Regions from separate parts of the Mus musculus genome. Here all the other regions are reported to be linked to region 4. The links are microRNA targets in miRTarBase. Many come from high-throughput screens and were not tested one by one. Region 4 holds a microRNA gene; each other region holds the end of a gene's coding sequence.
The links. The annotated mature microRNA mmu-miR-297a-5p reads AUGUAUGUGUGCAUGUGCAUGU and lies in region 4 at 2,765-2,786, shown strand. An mRNA with a match to its seed (bases 2 to 7 or 8) in the 3' UTR can be bound and repressed. Matches are read on the target gene's strand: a 7mer-m8 pairs with bases 2 to 8, a 7mer-A1 pairs with bases 2 to 7 and ends in A, and an 8mer does both.

Region 1 (4,067 bases), not on the chromosome of region 4:
TGGGAGTTGTAAGATGAGATACGCTTCTCTAAGCTTCTTCTCCAAGCTGGTTTTGGTTAGTGCTTTATTGCAGAAATAAGAACACTGAGAATTGCTTTTATCTGCTGAGCTACTTCGTGACTTTATTGTGTTTTTGTTTGTAATTTATGCATCTCCTAGTTTGGATATAATTTCTGGTTTTGTCTGAGGCTCGTTTGCTCTGGAGGGCTTAGTCTCCAGGACCATTCATTGAGAAAACTAGTGTAACAGTGGCTGTATCAACCTATACAAGATACAGGAATACACTTACTATCAAGTAAAGTCAACTAACATAGAACCAACTACTAAAAATGCAGTGTACTATGAAGTGAAAAAATAGTAAACATCAGGTTAAAAATGAAAGTAGCAAATGAATGAGATAAAGGAATAGGACCAGGGGAAACTAGAGCACAGTCTGGGGTGGGGGAAGCCAGCCAATCAGAGGATCTGTACAGGAAGAGCTGTTTTCATACTTTCAAAATCTGCCAAGTGTTCATCACCTTGCTGGTGGGAGGCAGCTGTGATGCCAAGTCTTCCACTGGGGTTTTGCAGTTTATCTTTAGTAGCACTGAACCTCATGGCAGGTAGCTGGCTCTAGAAGCTGGCCTACTGCAGTCTTCTGGCCCAGTGTCCTAGTTAGGGTGACTATTGCTATGATGATACACTATGACCAGGAGCAAATTGGTTAGAAAAGGGTTTATTTGGCTTACATTGCCACGTGCACACCATCACTGAAGGAAATCAGAGCAAAAATGCAAGAACTGCAGGAGGAACCTAGCAGGTGATGCTTTAGCCATGGAGGGCTGCTTACTGCCTTGTTCATCGTTCTTTGACCACCAGCCCAGGGATGGCCTCAAACACAATGGGCTGGTGGTCACATCAATCACTAACATCCCACAGGCCTGCATAAAGCCTGATCTTATTAAGACATTCTCAGTTGAAGCTCCCTCATCTCCAAGTGACTCTTGCTTGTGTCAACTGTTACAAAACTAGCCAGGACACTCAGCTACTGAACTCTTTATTATCTTAATTTATTATTTGATGATGTCTGCTTTCAGGTATTGGTGAGGCTACCTCTCCCTGCTCTCTGAAGTGTAGGCACTCTTGCTCTACATATGTCTCTCTCCAGATTGTCTCGCAGCCTGAGATGGCGAACAGCTGAATCAGATATGCTAAGTTGATTGTTCCATGTACTCAGTTTTACACAGTGGGTTTCCTCTCCAGATGGCATCTGAGTGCTGGAAAGTGAACTTAGGTCCTCTGCATGAACAGTACTCACTCTTAACCACAGAGTCATCTCTTCAGTTCTAGGAAACCCTTCTCAATGCTAAACTGTTCTGCAGCCGCAACTGGATCTAAATGGGCTTTCCTCATTTTGGTTCACAGTTGGAATTGTTTTCAACAATTTCCATCTGCCTCACACTCTTGCTGTACATTTCTGAATGGCTTCCCTTGTTTCTGTCTTTGGAATATAGTCCATTAACCTTAACCTGATATTCCTGCTTTATTGGTTCACATGGAGGCACACTGTAGACTGCAATCTTTAACAAAACATTAAAAACATTACCTTCTATATTACATTATTTCATACATGACTAAGTAAAAGGTTGTGTGCTGGAGAGTTAAGAACCCACACATTTTAGGGACTCACATCCACTTGTAACTTCTATTCCAGGAGATCTGACACCCTCTTCTGGCTCCTGAGGGCATCTGTATAGGTAGCACTCGCACATACACACAAAGCTTTAAAAATAAATCTGGTTAAAGCAAAAAATAAAACAAAATTTGAGATAAGCCTAAAAGCAAGTTCAATTTTATTGAAGCAATTTAGTCTTTTTATCGAGACTGAAATGTACAAAAGCCCAGTGGTGTAACTTCTAGAAACTTACCAACTGAAATACTTGTTCAACAGCAAATATTGTAAGGAAAGACAGTGCATAAACAGTTGGTAACGATAAAACCATAAAAACAGCTTGGGTGCCTCTCAGTAGGGAACTAGTTTATATATATAGATGATGGAATACAAAATAGCCATTTAAAACACGAGGTAGATTGACATGTATGAACTGAAATAGAATGGCTTTCAAGATACTCTGATAAGCCAGGTGCAGTAGGTGGAGCCAGAAGGGTTAGGAGCTCAAAGTCACTCTGAGTTACACACAAAGTATGAGGCCAGCCTGGGTATACAAAAAAACAAAACAAGACAAAACAAAACAATAACAACAAAACCATACCAAAACAGAAAAGCAAAAACACTGATTAAAAAGCCCATCTTGGGCTGGAGAGAGAACTTACTTCCACTTCCAGAGGACCCAAGTGCATTTCCCAGTACCCACATTTGACAGCTCATAACCATCTGTAACTCCAGCTATAAGGAATCCAACACTCTTCCCTGGACTTGGGTCAAAGTAGGCGCACACACATGCACACACGCACATCTCTCTTGCGCACAAACACATTCTCTCTCTCACAAAAGCAATTATTTCATATACTATACATTAAGTATCCACAAAGGGAAGGCAATGAACGCACAGTGAGTGCATCAATGGAGAAGTGCACCGGGGTACACTGTTATACTGCGATCTTTTCTTCAGAAGAATTAAGAGGGGACCAATGGGTTGGCTCAGTAGGTAAAGGCTCTGGTTATAAAGTCTAATGACTTTAACTTGATTCCCAGGAACCCACATGGTGTAAGTAGAGAATGGACTCTAGCAAGTTGTCCTCTGACCTCTACACACACGCATGCATGCACATATAGACAAAATAAAAATGTAATAAAAAAGTTAAAAAGCAAAGTCCTGCTAACTGTGATTAGCTTTAGATAGCTGAAAAGAAGGTAGGTTAGGTGGTGGGAGTTTTACTTTTTCTGTGTTAGCATTAAATTGGTAACATTATTTCAATAGGGATTACACGTGTAGGTAGAATTGCTTTGTTTTTCTTTATATTTTAAAAAACTAATAATTACTTACACAGACACAAAGATGTTAAGCTAAAACAGTTAAAGAATGAAAACAAATACATATACAGATGTACTTAATTTAAGCACAGGGATATGCCTAGACTTTTTATGATTTTTTTCTTTTTTGTGGCAAGATCTCATGTAGCTCAGGCCAGCCTTGATTTGTTAGGAAGCACAGCATGAGCTTGAACTCATGATCTTTCTGAAGTGCTGGGATTGCAGGCACCACTATCACCTTGCCCTGATGCTGTTTTAAAGTGTACAACACAGATCCATTACCATTACCTAAAGATCTCAAACCACTTCATTAGCATCCTTTAAAACTCGGAGTTTTCCACATCACATGTGCACACAGTATTAAAGAACCTAGGAAGGCCTTCCTCCTGTCTCTCACTTGAATGTCATACATCCTCACTCCACATGATCTCTCTGTGCTTTACAGTATCACACTTCCGCTTCAGAAGTGCTGGTCTTCAGAAGTGCTGGTCTTCTGATCAGGTCACCAAAGTATGCAGTGATGGTCTTTAACTTGTTGTTAAGAAAGTTCTGTTCTATTTCCACTTGTCCTCCAAGCCCAGCCAAGGATGCCACCTGCCAGGAAAAGCACATACACAAGTCATGCACATGAGCGGGATCTCTCTCTCCCTCTCTCTCCCCTCCCCCTCCATCCTTCCTCCCTTTTGGCATGGTCTCATTAAATAGCTCTGGCTGGCCCACTCCTTATGTAGACCAGATTGTCCTCAAACTCATCCTGCCCCTGCTTCCTAAGATTAAACATACCCATTACCATGCTGAACACAGACTTTCAAAAGAGACCCCATCCCCTAACCTACACCATCAATAGAGGAAGACCCCATCTCTAACCTATACCATCAATAGAGGAAGACCCCATCCCTAACCTATACCATCAATAGAGGAAGACCCCATCTCTAACCTATACCATCAATAGAGGAAGACCCCATCTCTAACCTATACCATCAATAGAGGAAGACCCCATCTCTAACCTATACCATCAATAGAGGAAGACCCCATCTCTAACCTACACCATCAATAGAGGAAGACCCCATCTCTAACCTACACCATCAATAGA
Region 2 (4,067 bases), not on the chromosome of region 4:
CAAGGCTGGCCATGTTGGGTTTGCTTGGGGGCTGGGGGTGGGGGTGGGGCCACTGAAGAAGAAATCTGGAACTCTGGTCTAGAAAGCCCATTGAGTGCTTTTCAATCACGCGCCTCCTCATAGCAGCAGGAACCCTAAGACATTGACCTTTTCTTTGGAGGCAGAGGTGTCCAAAGTTAGCCATAAATAAACTCTCCTCTTTTACCGAATGCTCCTCCCCTCTCTCAGATCCTGCCTTTGTACCAGATCATCCCGTCTGCCCTTGGGGGACAGCTGCAACCCCAGGGATATACCTAGACATGAGCTCTGGCACTGAGCCGCAACCCCAACTATAAGCAATACGGGGCTGTCCGCTCTCTCTCCCTACTCCCAGCTTTGAGACTTCCAGGCAGACCTGAAACTCACTATGGAGTCCATGCTGGCCTCAAACTTACAGATATGCTAGCCGAGGACTGACAAATGTGGTGTTGAGACTTGAACCTAGGGTCTTCCATATGCTAAGTGTTTCACCGCTGACTGAGAAACATTCCCAGCCACCAGACTACCTTTTTTCCTTAGATTTATTTTTATTATCTTAACTATGCATATTCGTCTATGTATGAATCCGAGTGCCCACAGAGATCTGAGATGTCAGATTCCCCCCAGGAGCTGGGGTTACAGGCAGTTGTAAGGAACCTGATGTGGAGTCTGCAAATCTAACTCAGGTTCCCAGGAAGAGCAGTCTGTCCTCTTAACCGTGAGCCATCTCTCCAGCCCGCTCAGCTACTTTTAACCTGGTTCCTTATCCTGCCTGTCGCTTCCCATGGTAGGGGGTTGCTGCCTCTTGTGATTGGGCACACATCTTCCTCCTGTTCCTCAGCTTCAAATGTCCCTTCCCCTTTCTTTTGGTGTTTCAAAATCCAAGCTTGCTTCTTCCACAGGACTGAGTCCCCAAAGTGGCACTGAATTCTTCCTGTTTTCTAGTCACTCCATGCTTCTGCACGTGCTCCTTCTCTCTGGAATGCTCTTCCTCCTCTCACAGCAAACACTGAATCCTCACCGTGAGTCAAGACTTCCTCTACGCTCTAAGCACATTCACTGCTAAAGACGTGGGGTTTTTTGTTTTGTTTTTCCCCCTGTCTCCCTTACCAGGCTATGAGCTGCTGGAGGGTTGACCCTGCTCACCTGTCCAGTTAGACGTCAGAGTCCAAGACCTGACAAACTAGAAGCTCTCGTCTGTCTGACTTCACTATCTTGGCCTTTCATTGTGTTCTGATTGCTTTTCCAGTGTTTTCTGCATCTTGGGAGGTAGCATAAGAACACTGAGGCTACGAGCTCACATCTGGGTTCCAAATTCAGCTTAGTAACCTGAGACCCGAGGCAAGTGGCTAAAGCCTCCTATTCTGACGGCTGATGGGAGCACACCTATTACTCAGCTGAACATTAAGTAACTCTAACTCCTGTTTCCTATTAAGCTCTGCTTTCCCATAGCTTTCGAACAGACTGCACTCCCTTTACTGAGTTACCTATTCTTTGTTGCTCGGCTCATTTCAGACAAGCCTGGGACTCCCAATTAATCTTTCCTACACATGTATATTAATTGGTTATTAAAATTCCGTATGATCATTAATAAACGTCCCAGACATGGTCTATAATCTCCTTGATGAGCATCTTTGGCTTCACAAGTTTTGTAAATAAGGGAGTACAGATATTTAACAGTCTTTGAACATTCTGAAAGCATCCTGTCTTGCCTCCTTTGAGCAGATGGGTAGTAGGTGCGGGTAGGAGACTTATCCACGACCAAGGCTCACGTGGTTGGGAGCTGGATGCACCTAAGGCTATCCTTTCTATAAAGTCCTTCACATGCGCTCCAAGCCAATACAGGGCAGGCCACTTCGGGCCGCACCCTACCCTGGCTGCCAAACCCCAGCGAGCTTTCTGGTTAGCTACTCAGCGCGGGGGCTGGGAAGGAGAGATGGCGAATCGGAGCCTGCGGGGCATTCTCATCTCTCCAATCAACATCACGATCTAGTTGGGCAGCACAGGAATTTAAGGCTATAGTTAGGAAAGGGCGGTGGAAGGTATGAGGGACTGGGTCAACTCAAGAAGGGGCATAAAGATAGGAGGATCCAGCCAACCAATGGGAGGAGCTGAGGCTGAGGTCGGTCAGAAAAGGTAACACTTTAAAGGTAGAGCTTTTGGCTGAGCTAGCCAATAGAGGGGAACAGACGGGTGGATGGGCGTGCCCTAAACTCAATCGTAATAGAACTGGAGATTCGCGGGACCGAGGCGATGGATACGACATCCTCCAATCGGAAGAAAGGCATCCTACTAATCAGAGCTCACCAACAGCAGACAGGCAGGCCCGTTGACCAATCGCAAACAAGGACTGTAAAAGGCGAGGATAGGAAGAAGAGACTGGAGGTAGAAGGCAGGCTGAGGTAGCCAATCATTGTTTGCAAAAGACAGCGGGCGGGCCGACAGGCCTTTTAGGGACTCTGAGGGTCTCAGAAGTGGCCTGTGGGGGGTCTGTTAGGGTAGGAGGTGGCATTATTCAAAGAGGGAAGAGTGTGGTCCCAAGAATCGGGCGAAGATACGCGGTTGTGAATCTGGGATCCTCACCTCGGGCCTTGCGCCGACTCTCCTGGTCACCGAGGCTGGGTGGTTTCTCCATGGAGCTCAGGATGGAGCCCAGTAGGTCCGCCATCTTGGGAATGAGTGAGAGGGGGCGGTGCGTCTTAAAGGGAAGGACGAAATGCCTTTAAGGCCGGAAACACGTCGGAAGCGAAAAACCGCGCTGCTCCGCCCCGCTTAAGGCAGCGAGATGAGGCCGGCGACTTGCGTGGCGACCTTCCTACCCCGCCCCCAGCAGAGAGAGGCCGGAGGCTAGCTGGTGCAGAGACGTTTAATGGCAATTCGTATAAACCAAGCCCATGCACAAGTAGAAAGTGCTCGTGGAGCCAGCCGGGGGCTCCCGCCGCGCCAGGGAATCAGACGCCCGGCCGCGCAGCGCCTTAAATAGATTCTTCACTATACTCTGTATGTTACAGTTATGTACACACCCCTCCCCACGGGAGCGGGACTCCGCCTCGCGATCCTATGTACACCCCCTCCTCTTTGGCCCCTACGTGGGCGACCAGAGAGTCAGGGTGATGGGGAAGACAGGGCCAGGAAAGGAGGAAACAGACGCAAACATGCGGAGTCAAGGTGGGGGCAGTCACCCCTGAAACACGAGGGCGCGCGCAGCGAAGGCAGCGGTGGGGACCGAGGCGGATACATTCATCAGAGACTCTCGAACAAATAAATAAGGCAAGTCAGGAAGGTCCGAGTCAGGTGCAGGCAGGAACGGGGATATGGAGAAGGTGCAGGCAGGGCTCCGGAGGTCACAGCTGAAGATGCAGATATGTGGGGCGTGGGTCTTCTGGAGCCGGAGACCAAAAGAGGAGGCACAACCAGAAGGGAGGAAACGTGTAAGGCCTGGGGGCGGGGGTTCTACGAAGGGCTCCCAAAAAGGTGAAGGGGTGAAGAGCTGCCGACAGGGGGCTCCCCTAGTCCCGAAAGCCCTCTCCTTGTTTAGACAGCCAGAAGGGGCTCCCAGGGTTTTGAAGAAAGGCGTTGGAGAGGTCAGGTGGCCAGTCCTGGCTGGGGCAGCCCCTCCAGCTCCTGGTTCTGCTTCAGTTCCCTCATTCTGCGGAGAGACAGAGCCAAGTCAGAGGAGACTGATGGATCAGAAAAGGTGTCAGGGCAGAGAGGTAAGGATGGGGTTAGAACCTGTGTCGGCAGCGCCGCAGGAACCTCATTATTTTCCGGGCTGCCTGGTCTTGCTTCTTGGTGAGAAAGGTGCCCCTGGTGGGAAAGAAGAGTCCCCACTTTAAGACCATTGTAGGGAAAGGCTGGAGGGCCGATAGAGGTAGTGGGCATTAACAAAGAGGTAAACTGAGGGCTGTATAGGGGCAGGAAGGGGTGGTCCCTACTTGTTTCGAGCAGGAAGGGGGCCTGAGGGCCGGTGAGGAGGCCCCGGCCTGCGGCGGTAGGAGCGGTAGTGCTGCTGGATAAGCACCGCTGCTCGGCGGCTCTGCTGAAACCGC
Region 3 (4,066 bases), not on the chromosome of region 4:
CAACTGGTTTCCTCCGCCCAGTCCCGAGCCCTGGACTGAACTCTCTTTTTTCAGTCTCAAACCGAAGAAGGGGCCTAAAGAGATACCTCATTGGTTAAGGGCACTGGCTACTCTTCCAGAGGACCCAAAATAGATTCCGAGCACCTACGTGGAAGGCCCAAACATCTGTAACTCTAGTTCCAGGAGAACAGGGGCCCTCTTCTGGCTTCCACGGACACCAGTTATGCATGTGCTTCACAGACATATGCAAGCAAAACACCCATTCACATAAAATAAAAATAGAATAATTTAAGAAATAACTGAAGAGATTGAACTAGCCACCCTAAAGTGATGTTCAACCTGCATGCAGTTCAGGATCTTTCAAGGATGGGAATTCAAATTAGTGATCCCCAAACTTGTATCTTAAATTTGTTGATCGAAAATTCTGTTTCAGTTATTATATGTGTACGTTGTGAGTTACTATTAAAAAAAAATCTTACTGGGATGAGGACTCCAGGAGATTAATATAAAGGAAACAGGGTGCCTTTCCCTAACCCACGAGGTCTCCATACCAGGTCTAAGTACACCTTTGTGCTCATTTCTTCATCCTTCTCGTTCTAGAATGGAAAAGTTAAAAGGCAGAAGTGAAATGAAGTGGGTGGAAACGAGGGTTCGGTGAGTTACTTTCTCCATGGAATCTCTAGTCCCTTTCTCTAAATTGCACCTTCTTGGGTGCAAACTCCATCTCATATCAATCTCGAAACACCAGCCTTGGTGCCTGCTTTCCTTTCTTTTACGTCGAGGTTAAGTCACGGGCCACGCCCGGCGTCTAATGGATACAACTCTGAATCTCCGCTCAGAGTTGTTTATTGACTGCTTAGGTACCAAGCTCTGCTGGACTTTGCTAGAATATTACACAGCCCCGCCTCGAGGTCCTCCCGGTAGCAGGTCCTTCTGCCCCAGCTCCGCCTCAAAACCCGCCCACAGGCGAGTTAGCAGAACAGTATTCTGTACCTATCATAGAGGCCTCGCCCATGAACTAGTTCATTGGTCTGATTTTTACCCAATCACCGCCAAAGGCTTGTCTGCCTCTTAGCATAACCCGCCCGCCCCCAGGCTGTCGATCTTCTGGGCAGCGTCTAAAGCCACGCCCCCAGTCGGTCCTGCCCAGCGACTCCACCCGCAGTGCCGCTCTCACCAGGCTGATGAGTTGCGCCAGGGTGAGGCCGATGCTGACCCCGACGCGGTCTCCCACCTCCCGCGCCGGCCTCACCGAGCTATCATAGTTGGAGAAAAGTTTCTTAATCAGTTGGCCTTCGGCTTCCGACCCGCGGGCGCCTGACGAAGGAAAGCACTAAGTGACGCTCCCGGGGCTGGCCGTGACCATTGCTCATCACTGCCTCTTGGAGACCCAAACTGACTTACCTGGGGCGAGGGGCGTCCCGAGTACCCCTAGAAGCAGAAGCAGCGCCCCTAAGGCCATGGCCCTGCCTCTTTCGCTCAGTGAAGTTTGTCCGGATAGCGGCCTCAGGCCAGGGGAAGTGACGAGGCGCCCAGGAATGTGCACCTGTTGTCGGGGGACCAGACGCCAGCCCACCCGCCCCGCCCTCGGGACTTGGTCCCGCCCGGAGCAACTGCAGTCGCCCTCCACTCACAAATGTCAGATAACACTCCGGTTGTATAAATCATCTTTAATTACAGAAAGCATGAAGTGGAGACCCCGTCCCCTGAGAGCAGTGCCAGGAGATGGGCGGAGCCTGAGCGGGGTTTGTATGAGGGAGGGGGGCATCTCTTGCAACAAGCCAGAAGTAAAAGGGCCTGAGGAAAAGTGACCTGTCTTTGAGCACTAGCCCCTCCCTTAGGACCTCAATAGACGTTTCCACCTACATCTGCTAGACTCAGAATCTACCTCCTATTTTACTAGAGGTTCCCCATGGCTTTCTCCGTTTTTCAGGTCCTTTTTGGGTACTTAGAACCCACCTGAGGTTTAAAAGCTGTAAAGTAAAGTAAATTCTATTTAGTTAGAAGCTCTGGGGATACATATGAGGTCTGGGAGCCCAAGAGGCTCCTCGTTTCCTAAGCCTGACCTGTAGAGGGCTCGGAGAAGTTGAACTTATTGCTGAGTTGGGGGTCTCTCTGCTGTGAGGGGGAGTCAAGGCTGTGTCCCTATTTGTCCTTTTTAATTCTAGAGTTATTCTCATTGTAGACCTTAGCTTCCTGTTGTTTGAGACAGGGTCTCACATAGCCTAGGCTGGCCCTGACCTCACTAGGTAGCCCAGGCTAGCCTTTTATTTCCTGATTCTCCTCCTCTCCTTTACCTCACAGATGCAGCATACCATATCAGAACGAAAGTCCTCAGCTTTAAAAGGGATCTGGAAGGAATTCCTGCTGAGGTAGCTAAGTGTTCAGACACAGGTTCAATCATACCATGGCATTTTCTCCCTCTCAGCTTCCCTTCTAGGAGCCAGGTATATTCTTCCAGAATTCCTGTATCTTTCCCCAGACTCTTGTCTCCCTGGCAGAACCCTAGTTGGAATGCTGAAACTAGAAACCATGTAAAAGTAAGGTTAGTATTCTGGAGGGACTATTTTTAGAAAATTATTTAGGAAAAGCAAGAAGTGGTTCTTGATCCGTTCAGTACTGATTAGTTCTCTCTCTCTCTCTCTCTCTCTCTCTCTTTCTCTCTCTCTCTCTCTGTGTGTGTGTGTGTGTGTGTGTGTGTATGTGTGTGTGTGTATTGGCTTTTGAGACAGGGTTTTGCTATTGTAGCCCAGGATGGCCTCCAACTCAGGATCTGTCTGATTCAGCCTCCCGGGTGCTGAATTACAGGTGTGTGCCACCAAGCACAGCTCAGAGCCAATCAGTTTTTAATTAATCATAGCTGAGTTCTACCCATAGCTCATCCTTTAATTGCTAGAGAAAGTGGAAGGGTAGGTCTAGAACTTACTCTAGTACAATAATATGGCTATACAGGCCCTAGCTCCATCCGGGAAGAAAGGGCTGAGAGTCATGGGCTATGTCCTAGAACTGAGATTCAGGAGGAAGTATGGCTCCAGAAAGGTCTAGAATACCACGTTCTAGAATTGGGTGTCTCTGGGATAAGAAGGTTTAATCAGTGGTGACCTGAGACTGGTCCCAATTCAGACCAAGGCCAATTGCTACAGTAGGGGGCCTCTTTTTTAAAGCCAGGGGTGGGAGGTGTCCATCTAGGACAAGGATAGACGTGGAAAGGATACATACTTGGGTTCCAACACAGAACATAGGGATGGCCCTGCCTGGCTGGGGTGACCAGCTCTATCAGAACCTGTCCAGACCAAGTCAGAAGGTAGAGCAGAGAGAGAAGGAGATGCATTCTGAGTGCCAGTGGACCGACCTAGAAAGCTATGGCTTCGAGACGATGCAAAGAAGGACATGGCTTCAGAGACTGGCTCAGCCAGGGTGAAGAGTATTACCTTCCTGCCTTGAGTGTTGGAACCCCGGTGCCTTTTAGGAAAAAAAATGGGTGTTCTCTTAAGGGGTAGGAATTAGTGTGGAAAAAAGAGAAGTGATCAGGCAGGGTCATCTCAGGCACCCCCATCTTGGGACCTCTCCTGGGCCCCAGGATCTAAGAGCTCAGCAACTCCGGAGGTCCCTGACAGCCCCGAAGCTCCCACAGGGTGCAGCACCTGCTGAGACCTGACTGCTCAGGGCATGTGTGTGGCAACAGGGGTGAGAGCGGCAAGGCCCGGCGCAGGGCTAGGACACAGGATGTGGCGGTGGCTGACTCACTGGAAGAGCAGGGAGCCTCCAGTCCAGGGACTATATCTCAGTGGGCAGGGGGACTGGAAGGGGAGGTCTCAGGAACACTGTGGAGAGAAGGCTCCCGGTACATGGCCACTGTGGAGGGGAGAGAGAGAGAGGAGCAAGGAAGGAGAATTAGGCACATAGGGAGCCAGGAAGAAGCAGAGCTCTGAGAGGCCTCCCTTCTCTTACACTCACCCTTAGAGAACCCCAACCCAAAAGAAGAGAGCTTCCTAACCCCCCAAAGGCCAAAGCCTTCCTGCCTCCATCTGCCATAACAACATCTTGTTGAACATTTATGGCCTGC
Region 4 (4,067 bases):
GACTAATGGCCACATCCCTCTCTGCTGAGGGTAGGGGGTGGTGGTGTGGGAGGCTGTAGCTACCTGACAGGAACCAGGGACCCAGGAGGCATGACTGAACATCTGCCATTCCATGTAGGCAGAAGTTACCACTCATCTGGTCACCAGGCTTCCAGACCTCTGCTTGACTGGGGACCAAGTGCACAGCCCACCACCCCACAACTTCCTCTGAGGCTGGTGTGACACCTGAAATGTAAGTCAAACTCTTAAAGAGGGGTGACAGTTGGATGGTGAAAGGAGAAGAAATCTCTAGTTTGCTGTGTTGTTTCTTTCTCACAAAAGCCTGAGGTGTTGCTTTGTTTTTTTTTATTTGTTTGTTTGTTTTTAAGGTTATTATTAAATTCCATTTTAATTGTGTGTGTGGGTACATGGAAGAGGATGTTGAACACCCCCAGAGCTGGAGTGGGGTTTGTGGGCCATGTAATATGGGCGCTGAGAAACAGACTCAGGTCTTCAGCAAGAACAGCCATTCTCATGACCACTGAATCATCTCTCCAGCCCATGTTTTATTTTATTTTTAAGTATAATAGTTTGACAGCTCACATAGCTTAGGCTGACATCATATATTACAGGATGAACTCTATGTACCCATTGCTAACCATAAACTCATAATCCTGCTTCTATCTTGTAATTGTTGGGAAGACGGATGTGTATGCCCGATCACATCATCACATTCAGCTGGGACTCAAGTTTCCCTAGTGATTGTTAATACATCAACCCCCTACAACAAATGTCACCGCTTTGAGGAGAAGCCGTATATTTATATAGTATTTGTTAAAAAGAAAAACAGTGAAAGTCAAACAGCAATTTAAAATAAACTAGGGTTTGTGATGACAAAGTACAGAGAGAAACTTGAGAAAGAACCTTGTCTTGGCCCCAATACCTTCTCTACATGGATAAATCTTCAAGTGCTTTTTGTTTGTTTGTTTGTTTATAAGACAGTGTTTCTCTGTGTAACAGCCCTGGCTGTCCTAGAACTCACTCTGTAGATCAGGCTGGCCTCAAACTCATAGAGATCTGCCTGCTTCTGCCTTCTGAGTGCTGGGATTATCGGTGTGCACCACCATGCCCAGCAATATTCAAGTGTTTTAACTTACAAATACTTTCAATGTTAACATTTGCTTATTTATTTATATTTTTGTTTTGTAAATGATTTATATATTTATTATGTATAATAATATATCTGTATTTCATGTATTACATACATGAAAAAGTATGTGCTGCCCAATATCCCCAGTGCTATTGAACAGAAACAGAATAACACTGGGTCCCCGTTCCAAGTACAGTGAGAGATCCTGCCTGGGGAAAAAGCAGAGAATGATAGAGCAGGCCGCTCAGTGTCCTTTCTGCTCTCTTCCTGTACATAAGCTCATGCATCTGCGTGTGTCATATATACTGTTGCACACCTCACAATATATATACAATATACATATCTGTAGCTGTCTTCAGACACACCAGAAAAGTGCATCAGATCTCATTTCAGATGTTTGTGAGCCACCATTTGGTTGCTAGGATTTGAACTCAGGACCTCTGGAAGAGCAGTCAGTACTCTTAACCGCTGAGCTATCTCTCCAGTTCCAAAGTTAACATTTGTTACTGTGACAATAAATGGCCCTGTGAAATGCTGTCTCTTTCCATAGCAAGGGAGAAGCAATTTCTAATCTCTTCTTTGTTCGTGTTAATTTAGGTCTATGAGGCACATAGTCCTTCCTGTATCATGAAATATGGATAATATAAGATTACAGAGTCACGTTGCCCCACTTTCATGGATCTGAGTTTCTCCATGGAGAAGGAACAATTGGTTTCCTCTAGGAAGGCCCCCTGCAGCAAGAGCAAGCTAGAAAATCTGCTCCCCATGTTTTGTGCAGTCGTCTTTTTATGCAGACTTTGTCCCAGATGGCTCTTTCCACTTCCACGCTGGAAAGCTGGGTTTCTCTGCAATACTTGATAATGGATTATTTCACTGTCTTTGTGTTTTGCAATGTAGTTTTACAAGGTAGTTCTGGGTAGTCTAGAACTTACTAGATAGCTCATGCTGGCCTCGAGTTTTACAGTCTTTCTTCTGTCTTCAGCTGAGATATATACCACCATGCTACGAGGGCTTTAGTTTTAATCATGCAGACTTTTTCGCTTTGATATTAAATTTAAAAAAAAATCTACTACATATTTCCTGGTGGCTCAGTGGGTAAGAGCACTTGTTGCACAAGCTAGGGACTTGTGTCCAGCTTCCCAACACCCACATGAAAAAGTATGTGCTGCCCAATATCCCCAGTGCTATTGAACAGAAACAGAAGAACACTGGGGCCCCATTCTAAGTACAGTGAGAGATCCTGCCTGGGGAAAAAGCAGAGAATGATAGAGCAGGCCACTCAGTGTCCTTTCTGCTCTCTTCCTGTACATAAGCTCATGCATCTTTGTGTGTCATATATACTGTTGCACACCTCACAATTTAATCATTTTGGCTAAAGTGATTTTGTTTTTTGGTGGAGATCTCATGTAGGCCTGGATGAACCCCAAACTCCTGACCCTCCTACTTCAATTTCTCAAGTGCATGCATGTGCAAAAGCTAATTGATTTGTTTTTGAGAAAGGGTATCACTATGAAGCTGACTAGTCTGGAACTTGCTATGTAGAATTGCCTGGCCACAGTCTCACAGAGGTGGCATTAACAGCATGTCCCACCATGCCAGGCCCTAGAGCTAAATTTAAAGAATATGTATGTATGTATGTATGTGTGCATGTGCATGTGCATGTATGCATATTGCATGTATATATTATGCATACATGTATGTATTTGCTTGTGTTTGTATGTGTACTACAGCATGCAGGTGCTTCAAGATGATCAAGAGGATGTTGGTTTCTCTGAAGTAGAGTTAAAGATGGTTTTAGCCACCTGATGTCAGTACAGGATATGGAACCCAGGTGCTTCGAAGAGAGCAGCCAATGTTCTGAACCACAAAGCCATCCATCTCTCCAGTGCCCAGCTAAATTGTCAACGGGACTGCTTATGTTTCTTCCTTTGGGGCAGAATAAAGAGATGGACCTGACAAACCCTTTTAGCTACTGAATCAATTTAAGGTATTCACTCTAGTCAATTTGGAGGTTGTTCAGCATACATAATTATTTGTTTGAGACAGGGTCTACCCATGTAACTCTGGCTGGATGGGAATTCATTGTGTAAATTAGACTAATCTATATATTTTCTACAATCCTGCCATTAAGCTTGGAGCTCTAGGGTTTCTTGTGCCCTCTTCTGGCTAATGAGAGCACTGCATTTGTGTGTACAGATCCATACACAAGCTCCCACAGTATATGCATAATAAAAAATGAAATAAAATCTGGATCAGGAGAGATGACTCATTAGTTAAAGCATTGGCTGCTCTTCTAGAAGACCTTTGTTCAACTTACAGCACTCAAAGTAACTCACAATTATTTTTGACTCCAGTTTTAGGGGACACATGCTCTCTTCTATCCTCTACATGTGCCAGGCATGCAGGTGCTGAACAGACATACAAAAATGCAGGAAAACACCCATGTGCAATCAACCAATCTATTTTTAATTAAAAATTTTTGACAGGAGTGCTGATATACTCCTTTAATCCCAGTGTGGACACTATGCCCCTCCTTAGATTTGGGAACAAAACACCCATGGAAGGAGTTACAGAGACAAAGTTTGGAGCTGAGATGAAAGGATGGACAATGTAGAGACTGCCATATCCAGGGATCCACCCCATAATCAGCATCCAAACGCTGACACCATTGCATACACTAGCAAGATTTTATTGAAAGGACCCAGATGTAGCTGTCTCTTGTGAGACTATGCCGGGGCCTAGCAAACACAGAAGTGGATGCTCACAGTCAGCTAATGGATGGATCATAGGGCTCCCAATGGAGGAGCTAGAGAAAGTAGCCAAGGAGCTAAAGGGATCTGCAACCCTATAGGTGGAACAACATTATGAACTAACCAGTACCCCGGAGCTCTTGACTCTAGCTGCATATATATCAAAAGATGGCCTAGTCGGCCATCAC
Region 5 (4,066 bases), not on the chromosome of region 4:
GATGCAGTAGCATGAGACAAGTTTGTCACATGAGGTCCCTGTTAGCTGCAGTTCTGCCTCTCACAGAGAACCTAAACTCATTTGCTAGGTAGAAGGAAGCTGACCTTTCCAGTCTCTGCTAATAATTGACCTACTGTATTAGTGGGGTGCAGGGGCTGGGGAGTGGCAGCATGGTTTTTATCTAATACTTCCCTAAATTTAGGTCTATTAAAAAGATTAAATAGTGACTTGTTAGAACATTTTTGTAGGTTCTAGAGCTAACACCAGCATTTGACACCTGTCTTATTTTTTTTCCAGGAAATTATGACCAGATCTGAAATAGCTGAAAAAATGTTCTCTTCAGAAAAGATAATGTGATCAGGGCCCCAGTGGGTCCGGTGTGTGCAGGAGCACAGTCAGGTGATGGGAAAAGCCTGGCTCTCATCAAAACTGACAGCTTCACTATGATACGTGTTTCCCTTTGTTGTCTTGGAGATCTGTGTATGCAGATGAAGAATTCAGGAGTGGGAGGGTCTGCCACCCTCAGAAAGCCATCTTTAAAACTAACTTAGACAGTCAGTTTCATGGCCATTAAGTTGCCTGATTTGGAAACAATTTAAGAAGTTAACAACATGTGCTCAGATGCCTCTTAGGCGGCAGCCACAGGCATGCCATGTTGTGTGTCTCAGTTTTCTCTGGACAAACGAATCTGTAGCTGGGCTGGCGGCACACTACTGGTAAATTCAAAACCACGCCTGGTCTACATAGTTCTGGGACAACCAGAGAGAGCTACATAGTGAGACCCTGCCTCAAAAAAAACAAAAACCAAAAAGGAAAAGGAAAGAGAAGAATCTATGAGCATTCCTTCCCTCGCCTTCGAGATAACGTGATTCTCCTGAATGCTAACACAGCACTGTTCATCTTTTGTAATGATAATTTTATTTGATTTTTTTATACTGAAGTGACAATATTGGAACTCGAGCATGTTCATATATTTAATCTTGTCCCTTTCATTGGTGTACACAAAGCTCTTGTTTGTAAATACCACCATGCACTACACATCACGGAGTCTGAGCTCGGGAACACGTATGGGCAAAGAGAGACGTCTTGAGGGTATGTCCAAAGACTTGCAGGCCACAGGTACACGTGCTGCTGCTACTTCTGCTGTGAACCTGGCCATGTGACTCCCCTACAGCACTTTATCTCAGCCCCGGTGCACTGTTTCTTGTGAGCCTTGTGGAGACTTGTGAGATATACAAACATCTAACCTTACCATGCATCAACATGTACTTAACCAGCTCTCAACCATATCTTACACCTTGTTGTTAAATTATGTTTATAATGTATGATTGAAAGTTTCTATTCTAATATTTTTTGAATATAGAATGTTCTAGACTTGAAAGGCACTTGAATGTAGAGTGATGAAAATGTGAACGTTTTGCCACGTTCGTGACCAAAGATACCAGGCTGTTGGACATGTAATGTGGTAATGACAGGCAGGGTCTTGTATGCCTTCTCTGGAGGACTTCTGCCCTGTGAGTTAGAATAACTTGGGATAATTGAGAAAACATGAAAATGACAAGGAAGAGCACTATCCATAGCCTATGATGATTTTTTCACTGTGGCACCACAAAACAAAAGGTTTTCTTTCAAATGCCTACTTTCTGAGTTTATTTCCTGCGTACTCGTTTCAAAAGGGTTGGTAGTGACATATTTCTATAGTTGCGTGTCCGTTTTAGGTTTGTCATAGTCCACCTTGTAACCCAGCTCTGTGAAAACTGGGGATGTCTTGCACGGGGAGGAGCATTGCAGGGTGTCACTGTATAGCTCTGGCTGAGGATGGGCTTGCGAACCTCTTGCTAAGACTCTAGGCATGCACTACCATGGCCTGCTTCACGTTTTTAGTACCCTGTCCTCACAGCATGAAGTAGCTGACTCTCAACCCACAGGTCTGCACTTGAGTATTTCTGCTTAGAGCCAGCAGGAGCTACACATTGAGCAGGGTGAGTCTGCAGTTGATGGCTGGGGAAATGCTTCTGACACCACCTCAATGGGATTTCTAAAAAGCAGGGAAGACAAATGATGCTGCCTCTGGTGTAGCTCCAGACTGAAATGACTCTCTGTCCAGAGAAAGTGGACTTCCATCTTAACCTCCTTACAAGTGTTTTTGCAAGCATGTGTGTGGTGTCTGTTGCATTTACTGATAACTGCCAGGTGCTAATGTTCAGTGCCCTAAAGTGAGTGTTTCTCGGGGCCCTTCTTAGCCCCAGCATGTGTCCCTGTGCTGCCACTGTAGCTGACAAGGACGGGAGGTGCACCCAGGACCTCCGTGCAGCTCCTCAGGCTCCTTCCCCGTCTGCCCCAAGTCTGCAGACCACACTGGGACCTCACAGGTGCTCAGCTCAGCCTCCGTTCAGGATGCTGCTGTAGGATGGCTCTGGTAATTGAGAACACTAAGGATCAGGCTCCAGTTGTATTCAAGACTTCTTGTTATACAGTTCATGTTAGATTTGGAGGCATATGAAGTTTGCTTGAGACATTTTTTTCGTGCTTTGAATTAGGTTAATATTTAAAAATCTGCCTTTGGGGGTATTTATTACATTTCAGTAAGAAACAGGAGGTGGAAATTGTAAGCTTGGGAGTTGGTAGGATACTCCCATGCATTTCCTGTTTTTTGTTTGTTTGTTTGCTTTTTTGGGTTTTGTTTTTAATCTGTCCTGTGCAGAGTGCCACCTGTATCACGGTACATCATGTTTATACTACTATGTCAAGATTAAGCTTAAAGTATACATACAGAGTTGATTTTTATACCCTCTTGAAGGTTTGGAGCTATTGCCCTGGCTGTATATGACTGAAGCTGAGAGAGATCATGCTACGTTTTGTCTCTCGTTCTGATATTTGTGTCTTTGTATGGTTGACAGCATGCAGTAAGCAATATAAAACACCAAGCCTTACGTCTATCAGAAAGAAGTTTAATATATAAAATTCTGAACATATAAATATATTTAAGTGACAATACTAGAGTTTTAAGGAAGTGTGTACTCCAGGACGGGGACTCCAGGGCGGGGACTCAATACTGTACTTAGAAGCTTCTTCAGAATTAGGGAAACATTCATTTCCTTGGGGAGAAAGTTTAGAGGTTAAAAATAGATTCTCTATTTTAAAAAGTTAAATTATAATTTGGAAGAAATTTCTTTGACTATAGAACACAGCAATTTAAAGGAATTTTGTTTGAAATTTTGTATTTTTGTGCCTTAATATTTGGTTTTTTAATAAATTGCTTTCTGACATTTGGAGATTGTTTCCTGGGATTATCTGTTAGTGCTGCCTCATGAAAATCCATAGGGGATGTGGACTCAGGAGATGGCACGAGATAGAGTTCTTTAAAGGAGAGGTGTAGCTCAAAGTCAGAAAGAAGTCCAGCCTCAGGTGTGGTACAGTAGAACGTGTCATTTACAACCCAGGCTAGCCTAAACGTGGCCTCCTGACTGTTTTTGTATGTATTAGTGTGTGTCTGTGTGTGTCTCTGTCTGTCTGTCTGTCTGTCAGCTCTCAGTGATGAAATGAGAGCATCATTCATGGTGACACCATTGACTCAGTCTTTGTGAAAAGTCCGACTATGTTTAGGACTGTTGATAATGCCAGCTCTCTCAATGTTTTTAAAGATCTTTCAAAATACAGAGCAAGGTTTCTGCACACACACACACTAAAACTAGAAACAGCGAGTGAATGGCCGCACCAGACAAGAAGAATGAGTGAGTTGTGGCTTGTCCGCTTCTTATGCAATGGTTGCCGCTTTTGAGTTAAAGTGAAGAATTTGTGACACCAGGAAAGAACATATATGAAGCCTGAAGAGGGGCACGTGTGAGACTTTGTACACCTATGGGAAGCAAAACAGGACTGAACAGCAAATTGTTGAATGGCCCACAGCCTGGGCTACCATTGAGGTTCAGCTACCATGTGATCACAGCCAGGTCCAGCCCTTCAGAAAAATATCCATGGGCTGGAAAGATGCTCAGCAGTTGAGAGCACTTACTCTTGCAGAGGATCTGGGTTTTTTCCAACACCCACGTGGCAGCTCACAACT
Region 6 (4,067 bases), not on the chromosome of region 4:
AGCTTTCCAGAAGTTTCCTTCTTCTACAGCGAGGAGAACAAGGCTCCTGAGAGTGAGGAGCTGGAGATGGAGTTTGAAGACATGGAGAATGTCCCGTTGGATCGTTCCTCTCACTGTCAGAGAGAAGAGGCTGGGGGCCGGGAGGGAGGGTCCTCACTGAGCATCAAACGGACCTATGATGAACACATCCCCTATACCCACATGAATGGGGGCAAGAAGAACGGACGTGTCCTTACCCTGCCAAGGTCAAACCCTTCCTAACAGCGCCTTCTCCGGGAAGGATTCTTTTCTTTCTTTCTTTTTTAAAACTCTTCTGTAGTTTGACTGCCTCCAGGAAACTCAGGATTATCAGGACTCTGCCCAGATGTGAAACTGAGCTCAGAGATAGTTCATACACATTTCTGTTTGTCTTTTGACCTGAAAACACACAAGCGTGATCGCCAACCCTGTAAGCCTGTGGAGGGCTAACTGTGAACCTAGAGGGGTTGGGCTGTCCATGCTCCCTTCCCTGCCTCCACCGTATCAAACCAAGATTTTGTTGTTGGTGGTGTTCTTTTCCCCATAGATTGGAAGAATGTACCTGCTTTTTTACAGATATTTTTCTTCTTTTCTTTTCTTTTCTTTTCTTTTCTTTTCTTTTCTTTTCTTTTCTTTTCTTTTCTTTTCTTTCTTTTTTTTCCCCGTTAGTGTCTGAGTTACAGTTAGTTGTCAAAGACAGACTATTTATGGAGCACAAGTCAGAAAGCAAAGAAGAAACAGACAGAAAACAGAACAAAACAAAACAAAAACCAAACCTGACCTACAGAGCCTGGCTCTAGAATTATATGCTCTGCAGGGTTGGGCTTTGAGAAGGTTTCATTAATCTAAGAGAAGGATTTTATTTTATTTTATTTTACTTTTTTTCCTCATTCACAAAATCAGTTCCTCAAATTGACCAATAGCTGCTGCTTTCATATTTTATTTTGGGAAAGGGTGTGTATTCCTAAGTGTGTGCTCATCTGCACACCTGTGTGCATTTGTGTGTATGTTGTGTCCAGGTTAGAGATCACAGGGTGGGGTGGGGTGGGGTGGGGGTGGGGTGCTGTGTAAAATAGTCTCTGGACTGATGCTTGGTGAATTGGCTCCCGAAGCTCCTGCTGCTTGGAGTGGGTGACCTCATATTGTCCTCTTCCTTCTCATGAACTGAGAGTCTGTGCCCTCGAGAGAGTCTTCTCAGTCACATCAGAAGTCTTGCTCAGGTGTCTTCTTCCCCTTCCCTTTGATGATGTTTTCCGAAAACAGAGGGAGGATTATTTGGTCTGGATTCTTTGAGGATCTTTGGAAGACCAAACAAAGCAAAGGGGACACACACACACACACACACACACACACACACACACACACACACACTAGAAGGAAGTAAGGCAACAATTTTGAGAATATATTTGTAACATATTTAAAGCTTATGGAATCTCTGGTATGAGCCTAATAAGTTAGTATTTCTTTGGGAGCAGTGGTGGGCACATCTGCCTGTGTGGGGACACAGGACAATATGTGAGTGGCCTCTGGGTTTGGTCTTTGAAACACATATTTTTCTGGGAATTATACCACATTAGCTGCTAGCCCTTTAGGACTCGGGGAGTTCTTGTGGAGTCTGTGGGTAACTGGATATTCGACTGTTTCAGATAGTAACATTGACTGGATGTTTCTTGCTTGGATACACTGGTGGTTACCTGGAGCTGAGATGGCCTTCCAGAACACCTGTGTTCATCTGGTTTTTCTCTGCTTGTGTACCTCACTTCTTCAAGGCCTACACTTTGCTCAATCATTGTATAAACATACTAAACTCAGATCCCGAAGACCAATGACACAGATGGACTTTGAGAACACTAAGCAATATGTAAGGAGATGTACCCTTCCGATCCCCGCTGGTCTCCTCCACCTTTGGGGCATCTGGCTATTCTCTACACTAAACTCCCACAGCTGCTCTTGGCGTCCAGGGACCTCAGCTTGGGCCAGATATAGTGCCTGAGTTTATTTCTCAGGTGCTTATGTTTGAGTCTCTAGAGACTAAAGTCTGGAGGAGAAAACATCAGAGACTTTCTTCTCACCACCAAGAACTCGTGAAAGGATGTGAACTCACAACTTCTCTTTGCATAAAACCACAGCTGCTCAAGTAAAAGAAACAACTATGGTGAACTCAAAATCCTCCCAGAGGTTCTTTCCTGCGTGCATTTCCCACAAATATTTGATGCCTTTCTTCTCCCTTAGGAGATATGAGATAAAGACACACTGGCCACCCTGATTAAGAACACAAGGAAACATAAATCCTGGTTGTCAATTGCTGTGGAATTTATATTATAAAAATTGCAGCATGTAAAAATGTTGCCAGGGAACTCAATGATTGGCATAAGCATCAAGAGTTACAGTTACTTTTACCCAAAACACTTTGTAAATAGAAGGTCTGTGCATCAATGGAAGACACCGTAGGTATGGATATTTTTTGTTTATTTTTCCTTTTCACAGTAAATTTGTAGTGATGCTATACTAGCAGAAATTTTCACACCTTTCTACTTCAAAAGGTTTTCTTATAGTACCGGGGAAAGTATTTATTTTAATATATAAGATCACTCTTGAAAATCACTTTTGTAAAAAAATGTTATGAATGTAAATTTTTTTTTTATCAAGGAGAAATAAAAACAGGTGAGTGTGGGTCATTTTTTTTTTCCTTCTTCTCAGTACAGTCTACCTCAGTGTCTTATTAGGATGTGGTTCAGTAACAGATGTTGAGGCTTCAAGATTCTGGCTGAATCATTCTCTGAGTTGGGGAGCTGTGTACCATTTGATTTTTAAATGCCAGGGACTAGGGAGAACTTTGAAGGAGAGAGTTTAGATTAAAAAGTTAGAGCCTTCCTGTGAACCCAAAGTCTTCTTGTTGGTGATATTCTTCAGAGTATATTCTCCATACAAAAACCCATCTGTTGATTGCACACTCCTCACACACAAGCCACACTTCAAGTCATCATGATTTAGCTCTTTGGAGGCCCCTGATCTGAGGTCTTTGAAAAGTGGGTGTTCCTTTTACTGATGAGGCTGTGAGCCAGTACCTTCAGAAGTCACATGAAATCCCCCGGACATGAATGCAAAGGGAATCTGGGTTTTCTGACCATGATTTCTCACCCTGTTTAGACCCATGAGGCTGTTTGTGGGCACCTCTTACACAAATAGCTGATGCAAGGGTATTTGGAGAAATCCTGCTATGAAACCTATCAGTTTCCTGAACATATCTTAAACAATAAGATAGGAACCCTATGCTGGGGTTGGGTTGACTTCAAGCTGACACTGTTTGGCCTTGTGCAATCTTGAGAACTCTGGAAATCAAGGCGGGGCCAGCATGGCTCCTAGTTTCAAGCTTTGACATATTATTTCACTTTAGAACACTGTCCTTAAAATTTTACTCTTTTCCATCTTTTCTGGAAAGGTGCACCAACTTGGGTGACCCTACCAAAAAGGACTCCACTAATTCCATGTTGATATCTACTGTTGCTGGGAAGGAAACAAGTAGCTATTGGGTCATGAGACTCATTTTGGTTTCAGAAGATGTTAGCTTTGTGAGATCTAGAAAATCATGGCTATCCTGGGAGTTCGTAGTGATGGATGAAAGAGAGAGAGAAAAGAAAATAGAAACAAAAGCAAGTTACATTGATATTTCTTGTTGAGTTTTGGGAGATGTCTCATCATTTTAAAACTACTTTCATGATCATGATGAAATGCAGTTATTTCTTCCAGGATAGCAGCAGACATGTTGTCTGGTTCAATGATGTCAAGCATACATCAGGAGATGTTCATGTACTTGGAGCCTTTCTAAATGTTTCCCTGTCATTTGATGCTAGCTTGAAGGGAAGAGCCTTGATGGCTTTCTGGATTTAGGCTGAGCACAGTTTGGGAGAGTGGAGATTGGCAGGAAGAGCTGAACTGTATTGTGTGGCAGCTGGGTGTGGTGCCACCAACACAAGTAAAAACTATCCTTACTATCTTATCAGGACAGACGTTCTACCATGCACAGTGATTATTGGGTTAAGGGCTGT
Region 7 (4,067 bases), not on the chromosome of region 4:
AAAACACCAGGCTGATTTATATTTTGACCTTTCTAGCGTGGCAAGTGAACAGTCTCAGATTTAGCTCACATGACTTAAAATCCTAAGTCAAACAGATAAGCAAATACCCCCCCACCCCCAACCCAACCCAACCCAACCCATCCCAACCCAACCCAAACCAACCCAACCCAACCCAACCAACCCAAACCAAACATCCCCCAAACTCAACCAATCAAGCAAGCAACCACCCAACCAAAAACAGCCTCCCAAACCAACCAATCAACCCATCACTTAAACAAGCAAAACCAAGAAACAATGGACTATCTCCAGGCTGACAATGGAAAATGTCAAGATATCATATGAAGTACTCCTCTGTGAACGTTTTATACAATCTAGTAGGAACATATACCCCACTGGAAAAATGAAAGGAATCTTGGAAAAGAAACAAAGTCATCCAAAGATTATGGCTTTTCATTGGATGAGGAAAGACAAATATAGAGAGTGTGTGTGTGCCTTATCAAAGTCATCAAAGTCAATATAAGGCTTGATCCCTTTTAGCCATTTGGTTCTCTTCATATTTAGCCCTTTTCCATTACATAGAAGAGAGATATACCTCCCTCTCAGCCACAGCTCACAGAGGAAGTAAATATTTGTTTATGAGTTGCATAGTTTGAATAAACAGTTAAAATTGGACACATTTATTAAAAGATAAAAAATACAAGGGAATTCCCTAGCCCAAACTTGTGGCTGGTGGCAAACAACGAAAGTATTGATTGATTACCAGAGGCTAAGTTCCTGATTACCAGAGGCTAAGTTCCTTATTACAGAGAAGCATCGATTTTGTGACAATGTCTACAGTTTTCCACCAAATACTAACACATTAATATATATATATATATATATATATATATATATATCAGTACTCCTTAAAGACCAAATGCCCAGTTTTTAAACATTCACAGTAAAAAGTAAAATATTCAGGCTCAGACATCAATTAGTTTTAACCTAAGCAACCTAGCATTCCCTTGGAAATATTCAATCCCTCCAAATGACAACTTCCAAATAAAACACATTTCCTTCTTCCCTTTAGTCACGTTCCTTACGTATATATTTTTCTTAAAGTGCAAGAAAGTAAAGCTATAACTTGATTAGAACAAGGAACAGAGTGCTTATATAGACTGTTATGTGAAAATAATAAAAGATGTCTGCTCAGGGTCCCTCGCTCCAAGACCCATCCTTTCAGGAGTTGAGCTGTCCCAGGCACTCTGTAAACATTTATTTTCTTCTAGAGAGAAATCTCAGAAGTGTGGCCAGAGCTGTCTCCTTTTATCCCCCCAACCCCCTTCTCATCAGCTTTGGCTCTCGAGCCATGGAGACCCGGCTCCTATTCTGATTTCTTTCAGATACCTTCCCAAAGGCTACCAGCTTCCCTGGCAAACTTTGAGAGAGATGTCTCAGGGAACTGAGGTAGCCCCACTCACCCAAGCTCCCGAGGATCAAGCAGGTTAGAATCGTCATGTAAAACTCAGCCTCCATTTTCCACTTAACAACGGTTCATGCTTCGCTTTGGGGAAAAAAAAAATTTCTCCCAGATAAGAGAGGCAAAGAGTAGGAAGGAAACGTGCTTCACGGAGAGGGGGAAAGTCAGTGACACACTTCCTCCAATTGAATTGTTTGGGGGGGAAGTTTTACACCAGTGTCCTTTTGTCTGTTTCCTTAGAAAGGAGGGATAATGTCCATCTCTTTTTAAAATGTAGAGCCAGCCTCCGGGAGCCAGAACAAACCCCAGAAAGTCACCCCTGCCACCCCTCTGGCACATGCTTATGTCTTAACCTCAAGATGGAGAAAGGGAATCGTAATGGTAGATAATTGAGTCTTCCTGCATCACGGCTTCTTTTCAGGTGATACGATTCTGCCCCATCTACGTAAGCCATGTAATTTATGGGGTCTGTGACAAGTGATATAAAGACATAAACATGTACTGTTTGTATAATGAGATGCTGGCGTCCATAAGGAAAACCACATAATGATGGAGCTCTGAGATCATTATCTCTCAAGTGATTACAAGATTGCAATTGGAGAGAGTCATCTCCCGCCCTGAGGAAAAGACTAAAATTAAATCCGTCCTATTACCTCCTTCAGTTTACCGGGAGTAAGTAAAGAAGAGGCTTCACTCAGTATTTACTGTTAAGAGTCATTTATTGGGAGTACGAAAGAAAGTCAGCTTTGCTGCATTGAAAATTCATATCTGAGCAGAACATCTCCTGTTTGCTGAGTGTGATTATTTTGCCTTCATTTGTCTCTTGAGGAAGGAGGTCTTTTAGAAATGTGAGGTCGTGCATGACAGTGTCCTCGGAAAAACTTTTGGGGATGAAACAGGTTGGAGCATTCCCCAAAGGCACCTGCTTCTTATTGGGAGAGAGATACCAGGTAGACACCATATTTAAAAATCCCTTCTTAGTAAAAGAGAGATGAGTATTTAAAATTATTGATACTTTATAGTTGCTATAAATTTGTTTATCCCCTTTTAAAGTAAAACAAGTCACAATGTAGAAATATAGTAGTTAGTATTGTGGAACAGGAGCCACTTGTATGCCTAATAATAGAATATATATGTGTACATATACATATAATATACATATACATATACATATATATCCAACGACAGTCATTGTGCTCTGTAATTGATCCATAGGAGATACTATAAATGCACACTTAATAGATATAATCAAGACACATGTCCATATAAAATAGTCACTGCATTTGATTTTTTTTTTTTTTCCAAAAACAAAAATGTCTTGGTTAAAAATCCATTGTCGATCACTCGAAACTTGAGCAGCAAGATTCTGGTAACTGAGATAGTTAATAGCACTTACAACAGGGACAGTTGGACAGCTGACAGTCCAGTCACAAGACAGGCTTTATGAACATTAAAGCATCTAAACACAGGATAATGTCAGCAGCTCCTCCAGTCTCTGAATATCACACACATCGATTCTGTGCGGCGGAGAGGCGACACAGACAGAACAAAACCCTCCTCAGGCTGCGAGAGGACTGTCATGCCTCCATCAGCACAGGACCTTCAGAATAACTGGGGGGATGCCTACGAACGCAGTCCTATACACAAAGGCTGGCAATCTTTCATGTTGCCAGATCTTCCACAATCAGTGCCTTAGGCTGGCTTTAGAGCCTCCTCGTCCATTGCAGGGAGCCCCTCTTGGAGCTCTTGGTAGGTAATTTGATGAATCACCCGGTGAGAGATTGACACTCTGGTAAATCTTCGGAGTCACTCGACAGTTTCTGGTGAAAGTCTGCTCTCGAACAGGCACAGAGCATGGTGCACAAATTCATACTGCTCGCTGGTTTGGACCATACCACCCCTGCATGGAAGAGATTATAAAATCACTCAGTTTTGCTGACACCTTATAATACTGTAACCGAAACATGACGCTAGAATGAGTCTTATGCCAAACAGGCAGAATAGCTGATCTAGTGAATTTTTTTTCTACCCTTTTTACCATCCTGGCTGGCGAAGTTAATATGTTAGTGCAGTCCCATGCTGTGCACCAATGCTGTATCATGGTGCGTTATGCACAGGTTAGCGATAACGATGATGCTGGTGTGAACGAGCCTACCTGGTGGCAGCTGTAATTACTGTACATTTCCTTGGAATGGATCATGCTAACTTTGTTGATAGCATTGGTATTTACTATGCTTCTTAGTGTGACTTAGCATGTACTCTGATTTCAGTGTTAAGGGTTGACTGGACAACTGTATGCCATGTAAGGCTAGCAGCCACTGCGTGCATCTCATAGCTATTGCACCTCTTGACAGTGCCATCTTCTCCTGTGCTTCCATTGGTTCCTGGTGGCTTTGAGAGAAGCAGGAAATGCTGTACATATAGCACGTCATCTAGTTGTGTGGTAGGTCATGCTATCCGGGTTTTTACATGTAGACTATATAATGTTCACATAACAATGAAGCTGTCTAATGATACATTTTTGAGACCACCTCTCCATAATTAAGCAACACATGACTCTCTCTCTCTATTCATATATATACACACATATATACATATACTCAGTCAT

Region 1: miRTarBase lists Tgs1 as a target of mmu-miR-297a-5p. The part of its 3' UTR that is shown has no 7-base or 8-base seed match.
Region 2: miRTarBase lists Camta2 as a target of mmu-miR-297a-5p. Seed matches in the 3' UTR shown: 7mer-m8 at 3,018-3,024.
Region 3: the mRNA of Fgf11 is a reported target of mmu-miR-297a-5p. Seed matches in the 3' UTR shown: 7mer-m8 at 2,699-2,705 and 7mer-A1 at 1,748-1,754.
Region 5: the mRNA of Tmem87b is a reported target of mmu-miR-297a-5p. Seed matches in the 3' UTR shown: 7mer-m8 at 2,768-2,774.
Region 6: miRTarBase lists Insr as a target of mmu-miR-297a-5p. Seed matches in the 3' UTR shown: 7mer-A1 at 2,943-2,949.
Region 7: miRTarBase lists Ptprr as a target of mmu-miR-297a-5p. Seed matches in the 3' UTR shown: 7mer-A1 at 2,568-2,574.

The regions. Positions count from the first base shown.
Region 1 is chr4:3,614,360-3,618,426 of GRCm38, reverse strand. Tgs1 (trimethylguanosine synthase 1) reads right to left here. Exons shown (of 13, transcript NM_054089.4): 13 at 1,803-3,568. The coding sequence ends at 3,422. Among named protein-coding and RNA genes, the nearest start is that of 2210414B05Rik, 40 kb to the left of the region's middle.
Region 2 is chr11:70,666,596-70,670,662 of GRCm38, forward strand. It overlaps Camta2 (calmodulin binding transcription activator 2), which reads right to left. Exons shown (of 23, transcript NM_001190376.1): 21 at 3,954-4,067; 22 at 3,751-3,825; 23 at 2,868-3,667. The coding sequence ends at 3,604. Spag7 (sperm associated antigen 7) reads right to left here and starts at 2,821. Exons shown (of 7, transcript NM_172561.3): 1 at 2,602-2,821. The coding sequence starts at 2,686.
Region 3 is chr11:69,794,418-69,798,483 of GRCm38, forward strand. Fgf11 (fibroblast growth factor 11) reads right to left here. Exons shown (of 5, transcript NM_001362623.1): 5 at 1,651-3,855. The coding sequence ends at 3,785. Chrnb1 (cholinergic receptor, nicotinic, beta polypeptide 1 (muscle)) reads right to left here and starts at 1,520. Exons shown (of 11, transcript NM_009601.4): 1 at 1,405-1,520; 2 at 1,178-1,317; 3 at 552-596. The coding sequence starts at 1,462.
Region 4 is chr7:10,957,196-10,961,262 of GRCm38, reverse strand. Mir297-1 (microRNA 297-1) reads left to right here and starts at 2,751; the gene lies at 2,751-2,826.
Region 5 is chr2:128,850,987-128,855,052 of GRCm38, forward strand. Tmem87b (transmembrane protein 87B) reads left to right here. Exons shown (of 19, transcript NM_001355629.1): 19 at 298-3,275. The coding sequence ends at 357. Among named protein-coding and RNA genes, the nearest start is that of Fbln7, 11 kb to the right of the region's middle.
Region 6 is chr8:3,151,863-3,155,929 of GRCm38, reverse strand. It overlaps Insr (insulin receptor), which reads left to right. Exons shown (of 21, transcript NM_010568.3): 21 at 1-4,067. The coding sequence ends at 261. Among named protein-coding and RNA genes, the nearest start is that of Gm30220, 63 kb to the right of the region's middle.
Region 7 is chr10:116,273,025-116,277,091 of GRCm38, reverse strand. It overlaps Ptprr (protein tyrosine phosphatase, receptor type, R), which reads right to left. Exons shown (of 14, transcript NM_011217.2): 14 at 2,163-3,359. The coding sequence ends at 3,266. It also overlaps a transcript of Ptprb not described here. Among named protein-coding and RNA genes, the nearest start is that of Ptprb, 26 kb to the left of the region's middle.